3 linked regions of the Arabidopsis thaliana genome follow. The protein of the gene in region 1 binds, or shares a complex with, the protein of each later gene. Each region holds a gene or a part of one and is shown on either strand. Other genes may lie near its edges. The genes, in order: CNGC17, PSKR1 and HA1.

Region 1 (5,601 bases):
AGGTACAACTACTATGTCATCTCTTAATATATGCATGCATGTTTAAAAATTTCACATATTAATAAACGATTCAAAATATTAATATATGTTACTATAATTATGATTGTTGAAAACCATTGTTTTCATGATTCAGTTTCCGTTCAATCTAACTTCTTGTGCCATACTATATTGTTATTGTCATTCAAGACCATAAAATTTATTTGTATATTATATGGGACAAGAAATTTTCAGAAACTTTTCAATATGTTAGTTTAAAATATTTACAACTTTTTAAATCGACTAAGAATCCATGATTACATTGAGCTGGTCTTGTGGCCATATTGCAAAAAGAAAAATCCCAAATATGTATGTAATCCTGTAATGTAGATTATGATTTGATCCGACATATCTAGGTCAGTAGAGAAAGCAAGTAAACATTTTAACTTTTTCCCATGGACCAAAGTCCAAACTCATCATTAGTATGATCTTATGTCTATTGATTAAGTGAGTCTACCTTTCTTTAAAAAGAAGCTTGTGTCGATAGCAATATGCAACATGCTCAAGAAAATATATTTTTTCTTTCTTTACCATCTTATTCTCAACGTTACAGTAAGTCAGTAACCACGGCATATAGGGGCTTTGACGAATGGGCTTAGACATCTTTTTACTTCCTTGTTGGTTCAATCAATTTTGCAAGGTTTGATGTGATTTGTACATAATCCACTTCAACTTCCTCATCTTTACATTTAGAGAATTTAGAAACGAGTTCTTTAATAGTACAACAAAACTAATTCTCCAAGCTTATATTACAAAAGATGTTTAAGTGTACAAACCAAAACCCGCCTTGAGTTTCTTTCTTTATGTCTCCCAAAGGAACAGGAAACTTACTCTGTAGTGTTCTTGTCATTAAGATCTTCTATGGAACAAAGTCAGCTTCTTCTCCTGGTTATACATCAGTCAATCATCATGCTCAGCAGAGAAATCAGGCTCCTCGGGTTTCTTAAACCGGGGTAATTCTACATCCTTAACTCTCTGAGCTGCAACACCGCGTCTTGTATTAGCTGCAAAACGCGATGCCAAAACCATAACTCCAAGGTTCATCTTTGTTCTAGGACTCTCCTCAACACACTCTTCTTCTTCTACTACTACTAATTCTTCTCCTACTTCTCCTTCTTCATTTTCCATTGATTCAATCGCAGTGAGGTTATTCTCCATAACTCTTCTCTTGTACCTGCGCCAAGCCGCTTGTATGAAGCAAGCAGCCCAAGTTCTCCAATGGTGAGAGTAGAATCTGAATGTATGTTGAAGCTTCTTGCTGTGTAACCGCCTAAACTGATTTGCAACAAATTTCAAATCTTCAGCTCGAAGAGCGAATGCTTCGACTTCAACTAAAGCCCTAACTGTTCTTGTAGAAGATGGTAAATTCAAGGTTGATTTTGGAAGCAAAGCCCAAGAAAGAAGCTCTTCCCCACAGAAATCTCCAGGTCTAAGTATAATCGAGTTGAAGAAACCGGTTCTGCCTCCATTGGTTGTGGAACTCTCGAGTCTACCTCTGATGATGAAGAGCATCTCTGAGATCAAGTCACCTTCACGTACAAGGTAAGTCCCTTCAGTACACAGAGAAGAAACCAGGCGCTCACATATCGCATCAAGCAGCTGATCATCCATTTGAGAGAAAAATGGGACCTGCATGATTCAAGATAGTAGTTAACCTAAAAGTTGAACCATTTGTAGGATAAACAAATCAATAGAAAAACTTACTCTTCGAACAAGATCTAAACATAGGTGACGTTGAATATCACGGCGAAGATCAGTGGGTAAACTTTGCAGGAGAACCTCTTCATCGACTCCTCTTGTTGCAAGCCACTTATACTGCTCATATCGCCTCACACGGTTTCTCAACTCTTCAGGAAGTTGACGATGTCTCATCCACTCCTCAGTGTCTCTCTTCTTCAATCTCCATTCCTCAAGCCGTACAGTCAAAGATTGCAGATATGTCTAACAAACAAAAGGCAAAACCCAAGAAACATAAGAACAAAAGCAGATACTTTTAGAACTTATCCTAACGCAGGAATCCATACCTGCATATTCCCAATGAGATGGGCAAAGAGGACAAGACCAAAGATTGCAATGAGAACAGCAAATGTGGTTTCGCCCATGAACATGGTCGTGGACAAATTCTGTCCATAAGAACTAGAATATGACAATAACAGGAAAATGTCATCAGATTCTAAAACTTGTAATCAAAAGGAGAGTAATAATTGGTATCAAAAAATTTCTATGATCTCTGCCATTACCTAAGCTGCTGCAATCCCCACCACAAACAGTAGAAATATCTCTCGAAGAACTGTGAAGACACAACGTTTTTCGTGATTGCATTCCCAAAGATCCCATACTTGAACTCGCCATTCCGTGCATCACAGAGTTTAAACACTTTTGTGACATTTGCCCAAGTCATCTGATTATTGTCATACATTGAATCACAGTCTAAGTAATATAGCTGACAATTAACTTGGCCAGCTTCACCATTGCATCTTGATTTCCAGCACGATGTATATCTATCAACCGATAATATATACCAGGCTGCACCAAGCACCTGTCCCAACAAAAACATTGTAGCTTTGATTATCATCACATTTAAGGAATGAAATAATGGAAGAAGAAGGAATGGGATTCATACATGACTAGCCAGCATGTATAGCAAAAGATTATAAGCAGCTCCAGCCCAAGCAGTCTTTGTAACAACTCCAGTTGCTTTAACAATTTGAGAACTTAACGGAATTATCAAATAGAATCTTGGGATGTATTGGAGGAGCACAATCAAAGCAATAGCATTGTTGTTATGATCAAACCGGTAACTTTTTGTAGTCGATATAACAAACCAGATAACTATCTGTGGAAGTGGTAACGTCGCAATGAGATCGATGATGAAGTCAGATTTAATATACCTCCAAGCAATAGCCTTAGGATCCATCACAAGCTCACCTCTACCAAACACTCTAGTACTTGAATTAGGCGCAATGAAACCAGTCCTAAACTTAATGAAAATGTGCAGCAAGTAGAAAAGATCCGCTATTGTCCTGAAGAAAGTAACAAGGATGCTTAAACTTGTATCAGTCCTTGCACAAGGATAGTTTTTATCTCCTCCTATAGCTGGGACAAAGAAGTACAACGGGTCGATGAAGAGAGCAACCATACATGAGACAATGAAGACCCAATTCCATTTCAAGACAATCTCACTTCCTGGATCAAGAATAGTCTTGTACCATGAGACTTTAGAAGATTTGGACTTAGAAGCATCAGTGTATCTAAGTCTATTTCCAGGTAAGAGATTATCAGGTCTTAGTGCTGAAGGTAAAGAGAGCTTATAAGATTTGCTCATTGGATCATTCACTGCCCATTTAGCTTCTTTGCTTTCTTTCCCCTCTGAGTAAAACCTACAAAGCAATACACAACTCAAATCTGTAATCTGAAACCTAACTAGAGATTTAAGTTAAACCCAGTACCCAAAATCGGAGCTTGAGCTTGTAACATCTAAAGAAGAGATAAATCTAAAGCAAAGTCTAGAATTTTTAATTTCTGGGCAATCAAAGTTGAAGACTTTCAGGAACGTAAGTCTAACCGACGGATGAGAGAAAGAAAACTTACATAAGAAGCTTGTCCTTCCTTAACTCCATTAGAAGAAGCTCAAGCTCAAGCTCGAGTAAACAAATCTATGCAAATTAGAATTAACAGAAGCTTTTAAAAATCATTTCTTTGATTCGTGTCTCTGACACTCTCTCACTCTTACTCTCTCTAAATCTGAGAAAGATCGTGTTTTTGTTTAGTTCTTCCGGAGAGGATTGGAAGAGGAGAATCACTGAGTCACGGGACGAGTCAGAAATCGGAGGGATATTTGTTTTTTTTTCTTGGGAATACTTGAGCCATCGGTATAAGACAAGAAAGTCAACACATTTGACTAAAGTGACATTATTTCGTTAATCAAAGTCATTATTAGTTTACAATACAAAACACTAATTAGACAATGTTACTTGTTACTTCACAAAAACACTTCTTTAGTCTTATAGTCAGATCCAATCACAATCACTTTCTCCGTGTGAGTCACAATCTCACATTCCAATCAGAAAACGATTCTTTAGCCTCCTTTATTTTTATGTTCAATATAAACTTTTGAATCACACACTTGAAAACATAGTTGACATAACTTTGGAGGTGAAGTAGGTAAATTAAAATCACATGAACCAAGCTTTACTTAGAACTTATACTTCATCATGGACAAATTGAAACAGAAACATTGATGATTAACCACTGAATCTCAAGTGAAATTATGAGAAATCATTAAGGTAACATAAGCAACATGTTTAAAGTGACAAATGGACAACATTTCTATCAGTAATTGACTAGATTGAATTTAATAATTGGCATGATAATCAAACCTCAAACTAAGTTAAATTCTACAGAAACCCATCATTCTCTTATTGGATCAAATTCATCAAACGGTGAAGAAACAAGCTTTCAATTGTGAAGCCGTGTAAAAAAAAAAAAAAGACACTGTACATGACTATTGATGAAAACCAAAATTGCTGCTAAATATGATAACAAACTAAACACACTTTCAAATCTAATTATAAAACCACCGATCAAAAAATTTCACCTTGTGGTCTCCATCTTCTTCCTTCTTCAAATCTATAAACCCTATCCCTACAAATCGGACAAGTCGAGACTTTAATCAACCACAAGTCCACACACTTTCGGTGAAACACATGTCCACATCGAGGCAGCTTCCGACACCACTGTCCTTGTCTAAATCCATCGATACAAACAACACAATCATCGCCTCCGTACTCTGAACTAGGCTCACAATACTTGAATTGAGGAAGCCTCTTCACGCATCTTGGAGATAACCCATCTGAGTATTCGTGACGGCGATGGCGGCGGAGACGGTGGCGATAGTTTCGTTGAAGAAACCAGTAGAAAGCGAAGAAGAAGGTGAAACCGAGAGACGTGAGGATAAAGATAAAAGCGGTTATAGCTACAGGGATCATGATTAGACCTATGAGGAAGTTAGAGAGAATCTTCGTCGGTAGATTCTTCGTGTTCGCTTTTGGCGGCGGTGGAGACGGTGATGGCTCGCGGGAGATTGAGCCATCGTAGGGAATCGTTATCGACATCGACTTGCGGCGGAGATTAAAAATATTCTCTTTTACGAATCAAACTCTAATACTCTGTTTTAGGGCTAAATAAAGGAGAGATTTTTATGGATTTTGAAGATCGAAAATTTATCGGATTCAAAGTATATTGTACAAAAGAGTTTGTCTGATAGATATTTATATGCGGGAATATTCGGACATCTTTTTTATATCAGTTTTTGACGATAACTTTTTAACTAGTTTTGGCCCTTATGAGAGGAACTCGTGAGCAAAGTCTTTTTTTTTATATACCAAATTTTTCATTAAATTGATTAAATTTAACTAGAAAGAAGAAGATTAAGCGTATATAAACACAAATACACAGACACGTTTTAAAACAATGGGGTTCTGATAAATTATGTTACTAAATTTTGATCATACAGAATGTAGTTTGGCGTTACAAGAAAACTAGAGGAGAAAACAAAGGGCGAAA
Region 2 (6,121 bases), on another chromosome or scaffold:
ATTTTTTTTTATATTTATCATCATACATAAGTTTTAAACTTTTAATGCTCTTTTTCTTTTTCCTTGTATTTTATTTGTTATATTTTTGGCTGTTTTCATGTAGTGTGGAAGAAAAGCCAGAAGTGAACATCTTCACTATCGAATCTGTAGTCAATCTTTGAAAATTTTTAAGGAACCATTATAGGAAGCGTACTAATCTATAAATTTGTGGTCTTTGGGGACTGAGAAATCGATATATAGAAAACCTTTCTAATGAAGCAAATATTATATTTTGACCTTACAAAGTCATAATCTTTGAATTCTTTTGGTCAAATGAGTTGAACAATATTTTCACACCCATAAAAAATAAGTTAATGTAATGGATTCTTAACAAAAAATTGACTATAGTTGGCCAAAAGGAATTCTTTTGTTGAAGACCAAAAGGAATTTAGCTACCAAATATATATATTTTTTAATTAAACCAAAAATCTCTAAAAGGTATAACATAATCAACAGAGTATCCACAAAGCAAATCACAGAATAAAGATGTAACACAAATTATTAATCTATGTTGCTCATTTAAATTGCTTGAGACATGTTTTTTCAAGAACTCATTATTTCTGAAACACTACAAAAAGATTTTTCATTTTTCTGAGACAGTATATGTTCTGTCTAGTATCTTTAATGTCTGAATCTGAATCATAAACTGAGATAAAAAAAATGGAAGAAGAAAACGAAGAAACAAATTATTATCTGAAAACTATTTACATTGTATCTCAAAAGTATGAAAATCACTCCCTACAAAATGTATCATAGTGTCTCTGATATTGTTCCTCTTTCTTCTAGACATCATCAAGCCAAGAGACTAACTGTTGAGTCGTTGGCCTCTGTTTCGGGTTTTCGCTTAAACATAAACAAGCAATCTCGAGAACCCGAAACATCTCTTTATCATTCTCTTTACTGTATATTAACGGATCGAAAACCTCGCTTGCTCGACTCTCATGCTTCATCTTGACGACCCACGAGATCAGATCCCTACACCCTTTCGGTTTACACATATCCACCGGTCTTTTATCGGTTAAAAGCTCGAGAAGCACAACTCCGAAACTATACACATCGCCTTTGTAAGTAGCAACCGAAGCTTGCCCGTATTCCGGAGGAATGTAACCTAAAGTTCCAACCAAATCAGTACTTACATGCGTCTCGTAAGGACTCATCAGCCTTGCGAGTCCGAAATCCGCTAAATGAGAGTTGAAATTCTCGTCGAGAAGAATATTACTCGATTTAATATCGCGGTGTAAGATATGAGGATCACACCCTTCATGCAAGTAAAGTAACCCTTTTGCAGCACCTTGAGCGATTCTAAGACGTGTTTTCCACTTCAACAACGCTGGACCGTCGTTACGCTCGTGTAGCCAATAGTCTAAGCTTCCGTTTTCCATATACGAGTAGATTAAAAGCCGGTCGTTTTTGTAGAAACAGAATCCTCGGAGAAGAACAAGATTTGGATGCTGTGCTCTTGAGAGTGTTTCAACTTCTGCTTCGAATTCTCTTTCGATTTGACCGCAATCACCGGATAACTTCTTGATCGCAACTTTCTTACCGTCTGGTAACGTTGCTTTGTAAACCATACCAAACCCGCCACAGCCAATGATGTTAGCTTGATCAAAACTATTTGTTGAGTCCAAAAGGTCATCATAAGAGAGCTCTTTATCATTGCTCTGAAACAAAACCACAAGCTTAGATCCAATCTCTCCGAGTTCTTTACGATTCATGCTCTCGGATTCTTCTATCTCCGGATCAACTTCTCCTGACCGTCTACGAGCACGCAACACAATCAACGAGAGAAGAGTCAAAAGAAAAACCGAACCAAACGCTATCCCAATCGCCATTCCAATGTCACCTCCTCTGCTTCTTCTTGACCGTTTGATCAATGCACTCTCAGTACCTTCAGAACAGGGGAATCTGTGTTCCCCGCAGAGATGGTTACTCTCAAAGCTCGAGTTTGGAAACGTCTGAAACTGACCACCGGAAGGTATTACTCCCGAGAGATTGTTATAAGCAACACTGAACTTCGACAGAAACGAGAGCTGTTGCAGAGAAACCGGGATCGAACCCGAAAGACGGTTATTAGAGAGATCAAGAGCTTCCAAGCTCGTCATACCAGAAAGCGAGCTAGGTATTGATCCAGATAATGCATTCCATTTCAAATCAAACACATGAAGCTTCTTCAGATTACCAAACTCCTCCCAAATAGGTCCAGAGAGATTGTTATGACCAAGCTCAATCGTTGGCGGGAACCCGAAAATCTGATTGTATTGCAACGCTCTCGCGCTCTCGTTTCTTTTCATAAAGAACGGGAAATCAGGAGATGGCTCATTGACTGAGATATTACGGCTAGTGAGACTCTCTAACTTAGTTAAGCTCTTAGGGATCTCTCCTGTAAACGAGTTGTTAGATAAATCCAAGTAGAACAGAGCCTTGAAGTCACCAATCCAGCTCGGGATAGCGCCGGTTAAACGGTTCCAAGAAAGATCCAACAACTGAAGTTCATTACTCGAGCTTAACCACCTCGGCATCGAACCAGTAAGCCTACAATTCGCCACTACAAGCACCTTAAGCTTCTCGAAATGAAGACTTGAATCATCGGGTAAAGCCTCTCCATGGAAATTCAATGTAAGAACCAAAGTCGTCAAGTTCTTGCAATGCTGAAGTATCCCAAGCGCTGAAGAGATATTAGCCAAACTCGAATTCGATAACGAGAAGTAAGATAAGCTCTCGAAGTTCTTGAAACTCTCTGGTACTTGTCCATGGAAGGTGTTCCTCGCGAGGTTAACGTTCTTTAACCGCTTGCAATCCGGTAGATTCTCAGGTAACCTCCCATTGAATCTATTGGTACCTAAATCAAGAGAGTTCAAAGCAATCATCGCCGTACAATTCAACATCAAACGACCCGATAAAGAATTGTTCCTCAAGTTAAGCAGATTCAAACTCGGTGAATTCGCCAACGATTTAGGTATTCCTCCAATGAATCCATTGGTCTGACCTAAGAAAAACTTTAACTGAGGCAATTCGTCGAACACATCAGGGATTTCACCGGAAAACAAATTCCAAGAAACATCAAGACGAACAAGACTTGAGAGATTCCTAATCTCACGACTCAACGAACCAGAGAGACGATTCTCTTGAATCCCTAAAAGATTCAATCTTTTGAGATGAAACAAATCCTCAGGGATGTTACCAGTAAGATCGTTCATACCAAGACAGAGATGCTCAAGCAAGACACATTTCCCAAACCCGGAAGTGAAGTTTCCGGCGAAGTAGTTCACCGCAAGTTTCACAACCCTAATTTGAGTAGAGTTATGGCAGATATGAGACGGAAGCGACCCATTGAATTTATTTGAAGAAAGATCAAAACTTTGCAGAGCTGGGAGATTTATACTTGTTGGGATTCCGCCGGAGAGATCATTAGAGCTCAAATCAAGAGTTTGTAGATTCTTCAAGTTGAAAATCGAAAGAGGGATCGAATCTTTGATGAAGTTTCGAGAGAGATTAAGAACCCTAATCTCATCTAGCTTCCCGAGAGATTCAGACAACTTCCCCGACAGCTTTTTGTTCCCAAGCTCCAATCTAATAACTCTTCCGGTGTTGTTTGAATTGCAGGTGATTCCGGTCCAGTTGCAGCAGTCTGTAGAAGAAGAAGAATTGATCCAACCATCTGGTTTTGGTTCGAGATGTGCTATGAAGTCACGTAAGGCTTCGAGGTCATGTGGATGGCACCTGGAGGTGGTCTGAGATTCCGAGGAATAGAAGAAACATAGTAACTCTGTGAGGAAGATGACGATCACACAAAAACGATGAACACGCATTTCAAGAACAGAGGAAGAAGAAGAAGAATATAAAGGAAGAAACTTTGAGAGAAGAATTAAGATTCAACAAAAACCCTTGAGAAATCTGAGAGTATACGAAACGGGTTTTCTGATTATTGCCATTTTAGATGATGATCAATGAAGATGAAGAAGCAAGAGAGAGAAAAATGGCGACTTTTGACTTCAACACGCAACAGCAAGTAGTGGGTGTTGTTTTAATGCAAGCAAAATTCTAGAGAGAGATAGAAAGTGGAAGAGTTGTGTTTGGTCTTTTTTCTGATACAGAGCAAACAGTAAAAATCTTTAAATAAAGAAGAAGAAGAAATAAGAAGCTTTGAATAAATATTATTTTTCCAAATATTTTGTGAATTAATTTGTGTTTTTGGAAAATTTGTTATAGACAAATCTTTTCCGTGTTTTGTCAATTATAATTGAGTGTGTTTAGTCATATATGAAGTCTTAATCAATAACATTGACTTAGGAAAGTCTTTCTCTAAATATTTTTTTTATTTTTTTGTCTAAATCTTTTACTTTGAATAGTTTGTCGTTCAACGGATAGGCAGAAGAAAATTTGGAACGATTAATGAATAATGAATGATGAAAGTGATCGAATTTAGAAAAATATATGCAAAATTATGTGACTATAAATGTTTCTTTATGGTTTTTTGCCGATTATTCTGCAAATGGTAGATTTATATTTTAGTAGTTTCTATGCAATAAAAAGGTAAAGGAGTAGCTTTTATTAATTATATTGATTTTATTTTGCAAATGGTTAATTTTTATATTAAAATTTGATTATGGGTTAATTGAATAATAATTAAAGATGACCGGAGAAGAAGGGAGTGACCGGTTAGGTCAGCTTTGAGGATTTAAGATGAGGACAAGAGAAAAGATAGAAGTCAAAGCACGGACGTTGACACCTTTGCATCTCTCTCTCTTCTCAACTACAATTTTTTTTTTTTTCTATTTACATTAATTATTGACATTGTTTCTCTTTTTTCGCAAGTTGATAATGAATGAAAATAGACCTACTAGATATTCTTTAGTTTCCGATAAAAGCTTCGGAAAAAAATCTTGAGTTTTTTCCATAAAATCTTGAAATACTTCAAAGAGGAAGGTTATCAACTTAATTGTTGTATTTGTTGGTTAAAAGAATCTAATATAGGAGCTATTTTTTTTTAGCTATTTACATGTCCAAATCAATACGTTATAATTCCAATCAAATTACTAATATTAATTTCATATGACCGGACTTGTATAACTTGAAGTTTATAATATCACTATACAATAACTTGACTTCTAATTTAGAAGTATAACTATAAAAGTGTAACGTATGTGAGTTGTAGACGATAAAAAAATAAAAGAACGGTTATATATAAACTATTTTATATTTTATATAAAAGAAACTAAAAAATAGTCGGTATAGGAACATAAATTTCATTGCTTTTTTCTTCAGTTTTTTTATCACCAATTTTCATTGCTAAAGGATTATTTTTTGTCGTTAATACTTTTTTCTTTTAAAAACGACAAATTTAGGATGCGTTAATATTACTTTTATATGTAACGCTATCCTAAATTTTGTCGATAGAATCCGTTATTAATTAATTGGAAAGAATCGAAAAAAAAAAATTAATCTTGGCAGTTAAAAAATGGATTCTCTTATACCTTTGTAGTAATATACACGTTATAGATTGTTCGAAAAAAAGAAAAGGATAATAGATTGTCATTTTAACAAAATAAAACCAAAAAGTCTCACATTTTCTTGCCATGATTTATTTCTTAAAGAAAAATAGGCTGTTTACACAACTTTCTTTGATGGTTTACTTGATTTATAAGTAAATGAGGACAATATGGGTGAATGGTGAATTGAACATAGACATAAAAGACTATATTGCTTAATAAACTAATTAGCCTACATTCAAAGTTGGTTTACCATATAAGAAATCACTTATATAGTTTTCCTAGTGTGTGCATGATCTTTCATAAAGAGATTAAATATTGTTTTACGTGGAAAAGTTAAGATACGATTCCATGTTAATAATAAAATATTAATGTCGATATCTATAATGAAGGAGACAGTCAAAGCATGTGACATCGACTATTCAACTCTATAATTAATCTTCAATACCATGTGGCTCGTAATGGCTTCGATATAATCGGCTTTCGTTAGTCTTTTATAGGTTCTTTTTTTCTTCTGAAAATTGACTTACTAAGTTTTATAGTTTATTATAGCTAATTTTGATATATATGATATTACAAATAGTGTGACTTTG
Region 3 (7,913 bases), on another chromosome or scaffold:
TTGTCTCTTCAAAGGCAAAGGGCCTTGTTTCTTCAAAGGCAAATTTGCAAAGCTCATATCGAGTAGGAGTTTTAAGAACAATGACTAACAATAACAAAAAGAAAAAAGAGTTTTGGAAGAGTTATGGCAATACACAAGAGTTCTCTTCCCTCTACTGTAATGACTTTTAAAGAGAGATTTGTGAAGACAAAACAAAAGATGAGTCATGATGGGGTTGGTTTTCGGTAAATGTTTGTGTTGTTGTGCAACTCCAACTACACAGTGTAGTGATGTCCTGCTGTATCAATGTCCAATCCCTTTAGCTTTGCGACTGATTCCACATGTCCCTTCAATGTGTGAAGCTCCCTAAGCCTGTCACAACATAATATTAAATCATTCACCAATCAGAACCTCTATCAAATGGCATCTTTCCGTTGAGATTCGTTTTAATCACACTACTTACCTAGCTATCTCGGCCCTTCTCTTGGCTTGCTCTGCGATCTCAGACAGCTCTCTGTAACTTCCTTTCTCTGGGAAGATATTAACATCTTCTTTTGGCTGCAGACCGTGCAATGTCCTTTGAGCTTGTGCCCATTGAGCTTCTCTTTCTCCAATACCGTAATCTTTCTTGGTTGTGAAAGCGGTCTGTTAACATAGAAGAAGATGTGATTAGTATGTTACCATCAGCTTGTAAAAGAGGTCTCTATAGTGGTAGATAGACTTGTATGTACCCTGTTGTCAAACAAGCTGGCCCAAGCCTTTCCACTCAAGATATACCGAATGGCAAACTTCAAAATGTCCTGTGGGAAGTATGTTACGATACTGTAAATCCAAATCACACCTGCCCATCCCCAACCGATACCCTTCACCTTTGCAAATGTCCAGTCGGCATACACTGCGATCAAAGTTGCAACCTGCATTTGGAAGGAGTGAATGAATTCAGTGGGTTTCTTTAACCTAATCGAAGTTCAGAAAATATGTGTGCTTGATGTCCTTACCAGTTGTGCAATGACGAATGCAATCATCAGAAGCGCCCCAGGACGTTCGACAAATGACCAACTCCTTGACCTGGTGACAAAGATTAGAGCTTGACTGATGATACTAACTTGTAGATACACAGCACCCATTAGTTCATCGTTATTGTCCCTGATTGACCTCACACCGAACTTGTCCTGCAAATCGAAGGTGAGACAATTTTTTAAGACTCAGAGCAAAAGGCCTGGCCATATATATCTATATAGTCCCTGAAGCACCTGTACCAAAAAAAAGAGAAAAGAAATGAAAATAAACTGATGATGTACCGAGAAAAAGTCGGTCTTGTGAGCAGCCCAGAAGAAAATAACACTCATAATGGCTTGGTAGCCTCCCAGCACAATTCCAGTGGCGAAAATTTCTTTGAGCTTCCAGCTATCAGGTGTGGGAGATGGCTTGACTCTGTCCTTTGAGATTGTCATGATAGTACCTAAAAGGTAGTAACACATAATACCATAAGATATAGCTGATAACGAGTGAGGACGCTGTCTAGAAAAGTAGGATGTTATTTGCTCACCATCATTAAGGATGGCAATAATCAGAACCATGAACGCTGAGAAGTCAAATTCCCATATCAAAGCAATAAGCATGAAACCAAACTGCAAGAGTTACAACGCAATATGATCAGTATACAAAAAGTAAAATCATGCTAAACAAGTGATAGATTTGTAAAACGGGTTTCTACTTACCACAATACGGATTGTGATTGAGACTGCATAAATCTGTCACAAGCAGGAAACTAAAATTATTAGTTTCCAGCGCAAACGAACACAAGTGGTGGGCATAATATATTAGAGTGAGATTAAGAATACGCACGGTGTAGTTCTTCATTCTCTGGAAGATAGCTCTGCTAGTGAGAACGGCACTGATGATGACACTCAGCCCAGGTTCCGTGAGGACGATATCTGAAGCACCACGAGCAGCATCTGTAGCATCGGCCACAGCAATACCGATATCTGCTTTCTTCAAAGCGGGTGCATCATTAACACCATCACCGGTCATACCAACAATGTGCTTCCTCTCCTGCAGCTTTTTCACAATTTCATATTTGTGCTCTGCAATCAGTAACCATAAGAACCTTGGATCAATATAACAAAACTTTATAATGAACATGTGATGAGGTTTGAAACTGAAAGCAAGGCATAACCTGGAAAGACGCCGGCAAACCCATCAGCCTTCTCGATCAACTCCTCAACAGGGATGGATGCAATGTTCGAGTCCTTGTCGGTACCGAGAAGAGCCGCAGATGGATACATATTGGTTCCCATTCCAAGCCTGCGACCGGTTTCCTTACCAATAGCAAGTTGATCACCTGGCAACGTAGTTAGAGCGCAAGTTAGGGGAAAACATCTAAATAACCATGGATTTCATGGGAAAAAAATGATGAATAAGAATAGTTACCAGTGATCATCTTCACATTAACACCTAGATTCAACGCCCTACGAATGGTTTCGGCACTGTCGTGTCTTGGAGGGTCAAAAAGAGGCAACAAGCCAACAAATTCCCATGGTCCACCTGGGCTTTCTTTTGTTTTCTCGGGTACCACCTAAAAAGGAATATGCAATTAAACAGTTGATTTACAGGCCAAAAAAAAAACCCAAATAAGACCAATGTAAAAATTGCTTGTAAAAAAGTACCTGACGAGCTACTGCCAACGACCTAAGACCGCGCTCAGCGTACTTGTCAATACAAGAGAGTACCTTCTTCCTAAGGTCAGGCCTGGCATTGGCAAGGTCAAGGATCTGTGTGGGAGAATCGAATTAGTACACAGAATAAAGGAAAAACGCAACATCTTTAGGAGAAAGTTGAAGATTCATCACCTGCTCGGGAGCACCTTTGCTGACTCTGTGCCAGTTACCATCAGAGTCGATGTAAGTCAAAGCAGTTCTCTTATCCACAGGGTTGAATGGAAGGAAGTGAACCTCTCTGATTCCAGCTCGGGCCTATGAAAATCCAAGTGAAACATAAGAAATTAAGAACTTGTTTTCTCGACCTTTCACTAAACTAAAGAAGTAATTCAAAATGATTAGAGTTATACCTCTTTCGGATCAGCAAGCATTCCAACCATGGCTGCATCAATAGCGTCCTGGTTCTCCACCCTAGAAGCCATAGCTGCAAATAGTAGAACTTGATCTTTCTCCACACCCTTGCAGAAAACCTCAACCAAGTTTTTATCCACACTCAATTTATTAAGGGTTAGTGTCCCGGTTTTGTCACTGCAAAGGACATCCATTCCCGCCATTTCTTCAATGGCTGTCATACGTTTGGTGATAGCACCTTGCTGAGACAACCTGTGAGACCCGATAGCCATAGTCACAGACAAGACCGTGGGCATAGCAATGGGGATACCACCGATCAAGAGGACCAAGAGATTGTCAATTCCATCTCTGTACTTTCGGTGTTGGATAGGGTACATGACGACTATTTCAATCGCTATACCAATAGCAATAGAACAGATACAGAAGTTTCCAATGGATGTAAGAACTTTCTGGAAGTGCCCAACTTGGTTAGTGCTGTCCACAAGGTGAGCAGCTTTACCAAAGAAGGTGTGAACTCCAGTGGCTATAACAACCGCTTCGATTTCTCCTTGTTTACAAGTTGAACCAGAGAAAACTTCTTGACCAGGGTGCTTGGTCACAGGAAGGGACTCTCCAGTTAGAGCAGACTGATCAACCTTTAAAGGATCTCCTTCAAGAAGACGGGCATCGGCTGGGATAATGTCTCCAAGTTTAATGCTAACAATATCACCTGGGACAAGGATAGCAGCCTCTTGTTCACTCCATTTTCCATCCCTAAGAACCTGAAAACAGAGAAACAGGTTAAGCTCTCTAGAAGTCTCGAAATATCTTGTACAGTAATGTCACAGCATCCACCAACATATTACCTTGGTTTTAGGAGCAAGACCAGCCATGAGAGCAGCTGCAGCATTTCCGGCGTTGTTTTCTTCAATGAAACTGATTGTGGAGTTGATAACAAGCAGACAGATAATACCCACAAAATCTTGCCAATCCGGAGGTCGATTATCACCATTAGCCAAAGCAATGGCCATGAGAGCTGCAGCTTCCATAACCCATGAAAGCGGATTCCACATGAACCCCAGAAACTTCAGAATTTTGCTTTCCTGATATTTTTTTACGAAAGATCAACCTCGTGAGTTAAACAAAACCAAAGCTTTCAATGATGATAAAACAACAATGCTAAGTCAAACTCAAACCTTCTTCTCTTCGAGCTTGTTGGGGCCAAATATCACAATCCTGTCTTCCCCTTCCTGCGTTGTCAATCCTTCCCTTGTACATTTTAGCTGCTGGAAAACTTCCTCAATCGGAATTTTTTCCTGAGAATCAAAGCAAAAGTTTTGATCAGAACCCAAACAATAGTAACTCAAACATCAAACAAGAACAAAAGGGTAAAAAAGACAAAAACTTTTCTAGTTTTGAAATCTTTTTACAAATGTCAGAAACGATCCAACTCGGCGACTCGGAAGATGAAGAGTGGCGTTGACTCAAGTTGTGACAATGAAAGGTGAAAAGAATCTGGCAGTGGAGGATAGAGGGACCACCACCACCACCACCACTACTACTACTACTTCAATGCACGTGTTATGGAACGTGTAACACACGCGCCTGCGGGATTCCCTCCATGAAAGGTGGCTACTTTCCGGCGTGAAAGCCAAAGTCCGGTTAAGGGTATTTCGGTCATAAAACAATTTCACTAAACAAAATCAATTACAATAGAGGAATTCACAAGTTGCTTCTACTGATAGATGTTTTACAAAAGGACAAAGAAGTTCAAAAAAAAAAAAAACGTACTACGGAAAGGTACATCAAAAAAATTCGAACATCAACAACAATTTAAAAAAAAGTTGAAAACTTAAATTTATTAAAAACTCTGGTATTTTTCATGGGTGGAAGATAGAAGAATATTATGAACTGCTTTAACATCAAAAACGTTATCTTTACAAAAAAAAGATGATTTTTTTTAGAGAAAGAAAGTTATATATCACAAGCAAAATCAAACTTTTTGCGATTTTTTTCTCTTTTAATAAATATGTGAAAGAGACTTTTGTTGAGACGTAGCTTAAGCTTAGCTCCACCACTAAAAAGACTTATCTTTTTATTCAGCGTTTCACATGTGTGTAGTTTTTGGGTAGATCTACTTTTTCTGATGAACAGTATCAAAATCTACTTATTTTTGGCTTAATACCTAAAACCTTTAAAAGACATCTGTTATTTTACCCTAATTTTAGACCAAAATTAATAAAGTTGGAATCTTGATTTGGGTTTTGTATAGGATCCATGATAGAATCATCGAAAATGAGGCAGATACAATTGGGGGGAAAAATCGGTTTTTTTTTTTTTTGCGGATTTTTCGGGTTCTTGAGGAATTAAGATTCAGTTTTCGATCAAAGAAAAAAGGAGTAGAATCATCGGAAAATGATTTGAAGAAAAAAGGGTAAAAGAATCAAACGTGAAACCATGCAAGGAACAACAACGAAACAGATCTATTTCTCATTCAAGCAAATCATCGAACACTTTGTGGGCATGATGAATAAACACTAAAAATGAAATTAAAAACTCGAAGAATTTAAGCGAGAAGAGAATCGAAATAATACCAGATCAACGGTCTCGTTCTTGATATCTTCGAGACCTGACATCTTCACCCAGAAGAAATCAACAAAACGACGCCCCTCTCTGTCGTTTCACCACTCGATCACACACACACACACGAGAGAGAGAGAGAGAAAGCGAGCTTCTGTTGCAGAGGAGATATACGCCTTCTCTTTTTATAACCACTCAAAACGACGAAACTCTCCACCGTTTCAGACTTTTATTTTTCATTCATTTCGACCGTTGATTATGATTTGGTGATCATCAATGGTTGTTAATTGTTTATGGGTCCTTTCTCACTTGGAAAACGTATATTTGACTTTGGATTTTTGGTTTTATAATTAAAATTTCAGATATCATACTGTTTTTTGAAACATTGTTTACTTAAACTGGTTTTATACTCTGATCCTGTAATGTAAGAGAATCTATATTTATTTTTTTCTATTAAGAGAAACTTTTTACTTTTGAGTATCAAATTTAGTAGAAATCTTAACATTAACACAAATTTAGGATAATATACTAAACTTACATAAGAAATTTAATTCTATGGAGTTAGTATTTTTCTAGATATTTATGCATATTAGAATATGATTTAAAAGACAAAACTGTAATGTATAGATTTTAAAAAATTATACAGTATTGAATTATCATAAGAAAAATATCTAAGATAAATTTAAATTTTTGATTAATATTGTGGTTATGTATGGACAGAAAATATGCACAATCATAAGTTCTTCACTGATATCTTTTTGTGTATATAAAATTGATAATCAATAAGGAAAAATAATATACATAATAATTATATGAACATTGAATAATGCTTAAAATTTGGGTTCTTTTTTGTTCCCAAAGAGTTGTGCAAAGCTAATCTTAATGACTTCTATATAAGTTACTCATTTTGAAGGAAAAAAAAAACAAACAAAATTTAAAATACATACATGGATTTGTGAATATACATATATATATATATATATATATATAGAGAGAGAGAGAGAGAGAGAGAGAGAGTAATATAGATATAACATGTATATTTGATATATGTGTGTAGATACTAACTTTATAATTCCCTATGAGACAAATGCAAAAGTTATTTTCTAGATCAACCTAATTTGCTCATAAGTTTAATTTTCATGTTGATTGTTTAGGTCGGACTTTTAAATCAAAGTGTTTTTAAAACAATTCGTATGTAAACATTTTTCCTTCGGATTATACAACCAATCAAAAAGTTGAATTTTAATTAATTTGTAATTGGAAAATTAAAATCAACCCGTATAATACTAATTTGTTTAATAATATGTTAAATAATAGTGGCGAAGTAGAAACCGAGAAAATAAAAATTTAAATGATAATTACTAATTGAGATAAAAAAAACTAAATATTTTCTAAGTTTAGTGAAACATAAAGTTAAAATGACGATTCTAAAACACTATTTAAGAATACCGATGTTGAAAAGAGATGTTCATAAATTTATTACTGATGTTCAAATAAATTAACTTGACCTGTTTTAAAGGTGGTGAGTACACTAAATTAACTTGATTTGGTCTCTTAAGGAAATTAAAAGACAAGTGTGAAAAAAAAAAAAAAAATTAAAAGACAAGTTTCTTCCAGAAAAAGGGATGTTTTGAAATATAAAATTAGGTTTAGACACAGATTATAAAATTTAGGAGTTTGGGGGAAAATATTCAGATGACGTCGATCTAAAACTATAATAAAACACATATTAAGCTAGTAATGATATAAAACAATTTGTTATATGTGAAATTTTGGTAATCCTAATCTCATATTTATGGCTTTAAAGGATTGTAATGAAGCAATGGCTCTTCCAAGGTGCCTCATGGCAAGGTCAGCAATTGCTGGAACAATTCACATGTTTGTGGATATCATTATTTTTGTAATTTAACCAAAAATTGTTTTCAAGGTTATTTATTTATTTATTCAGCAAATTGGCTGATGAATATTGACTTTTTGATCGTGCTGGGTCCCCCAATAATACACCTCCCCTACGTAATTTTTTTTTCTTGCTTCCATAAATTCGATTGTATTTTATCTAAAAGATCGATTTCATAAGAGAATTTTAAAAACAAAGAAACAAGAAGATGATGGTTTAATTCAACTGGATATATATCGGCACATATGGGCAGGTTTTTCTCATTTATTATTTGATCATTTATGTATCTGATAGACAAAATCAATTTAACTTTCATAGGTAAATACATAAAAGTATTTATTTAAATGTGTATGCTTTTTTTTTTAGGATTTCAAAAAGTTAAATTTATTCGTCATATTCTTTGTTTT

What was found.
Region 2: CNGC17 (region 1) and PSKR1 share a complex: the UniProt entries of both Arabidopsis thaliana proteins name them as parts of the functional complex.
Region 3: CNGC17 (region 1) and HA1 share a complex: the UniProt entries of both Arabidopsis thaliana proteins name them as parts of the functional complex.

The regions. Positions count from the first base shown.
Region 1 is NC_003075.7:14,854,124-14,859,724, forward strand, and holds CNGC17 (cyclic nucleotide-gated channel 17), read right to left. Parts: upstream 3,897-5,601; 5' UTR 3,657-3,896; coding exon 3,628-3,656; intron 3,417-3,627; coding exon 2,660-3,416; intron 2,576-2,659; coding exon 2,277-2,575; intron 2,173-2,276; coding exon 2,061-2,172; intron 1,978-2,060; coding exon 1,741-1,977; intron 1,666-1,740; coding exon 937-1,665; 3' UTR 571-936; downstream 1-570. Other genes in the region: AT4G30370 (RING/U-box superfamily protein), read right to left, coding at 4,620-5,150. UniProt on the Arabidopsis thaliana protein: Probable cyclic nucleotide-gated ion channel. Forms a functional cation-translocating unit with AHAs that is activated by PSKR1/BAK1 and possibly other BAK1/RLK complexes. Required for PSK-induced protoplast expansion.
Region 2 is NC_003071.7:583,277-589,397, forward strand, and holds PSKR1 (phytosulfokin receptor 1), read right to left. Parts: upstream 4,126-6,121; 5' UTR 3,849-4,125; coding exon 822-3,848; 3' UTR 521-821; downstream 1-520. UniProt on the Arabidopsis thaliana protein: Phytosulfokine receptor with both a serine/threonine-protein kinase activity and a guanylate cyclase activity.
Region 3 is NC_003071.7:8,219,610-8,227,522, reverse strand, and holds the start of HA1 (H[+]-ATPase 1), read right to left. Parts: upstream 6,010-7,913; 5' UTR 5,666-6,009; coding exon 5,624-5,665; intron 5,371-5,623; exon of another isoform or gene 4,346-5,370; coding exon 4,226-4,345; intron 4,133-4,225; coding exon 3,896-4,132; intron 3,812-3,895; coding exon 3,050-3,811; intron 2,955-3,049; coding exon 2,832-2,954; intron 2,754-2,831; coding exon 2,649-2,753; intron 2,558-2,648; coding exon 2,413-2,557; intron 2,324-2,412; coding exon 2,159-2,323; intron 2,067-2,158; coding exon 1,828-2,066; intron 1,734-1,827; coding exon 1,701-1,733; intron 1,611-1,700; coding exon 1,529-1,610; intron 1,442-1,528; coding exon 1,281-1,441; intron 1,152-1,280; coding exon 978-1,151; intron 894-977; coding exon 711-893; intron 625-710; coding exon 443-624; intron 352-442; coding exon 255-351; 3' UTR 1-254. UniProt on the Arabidopsis thaliana protein: The plasma membrane H(+) ATPase of plants and fungi generates a proton gradient that drives the active transport of nutrients by H(+)-symport. The resulting external acidification and/or internal alkinization may mediate growth responses.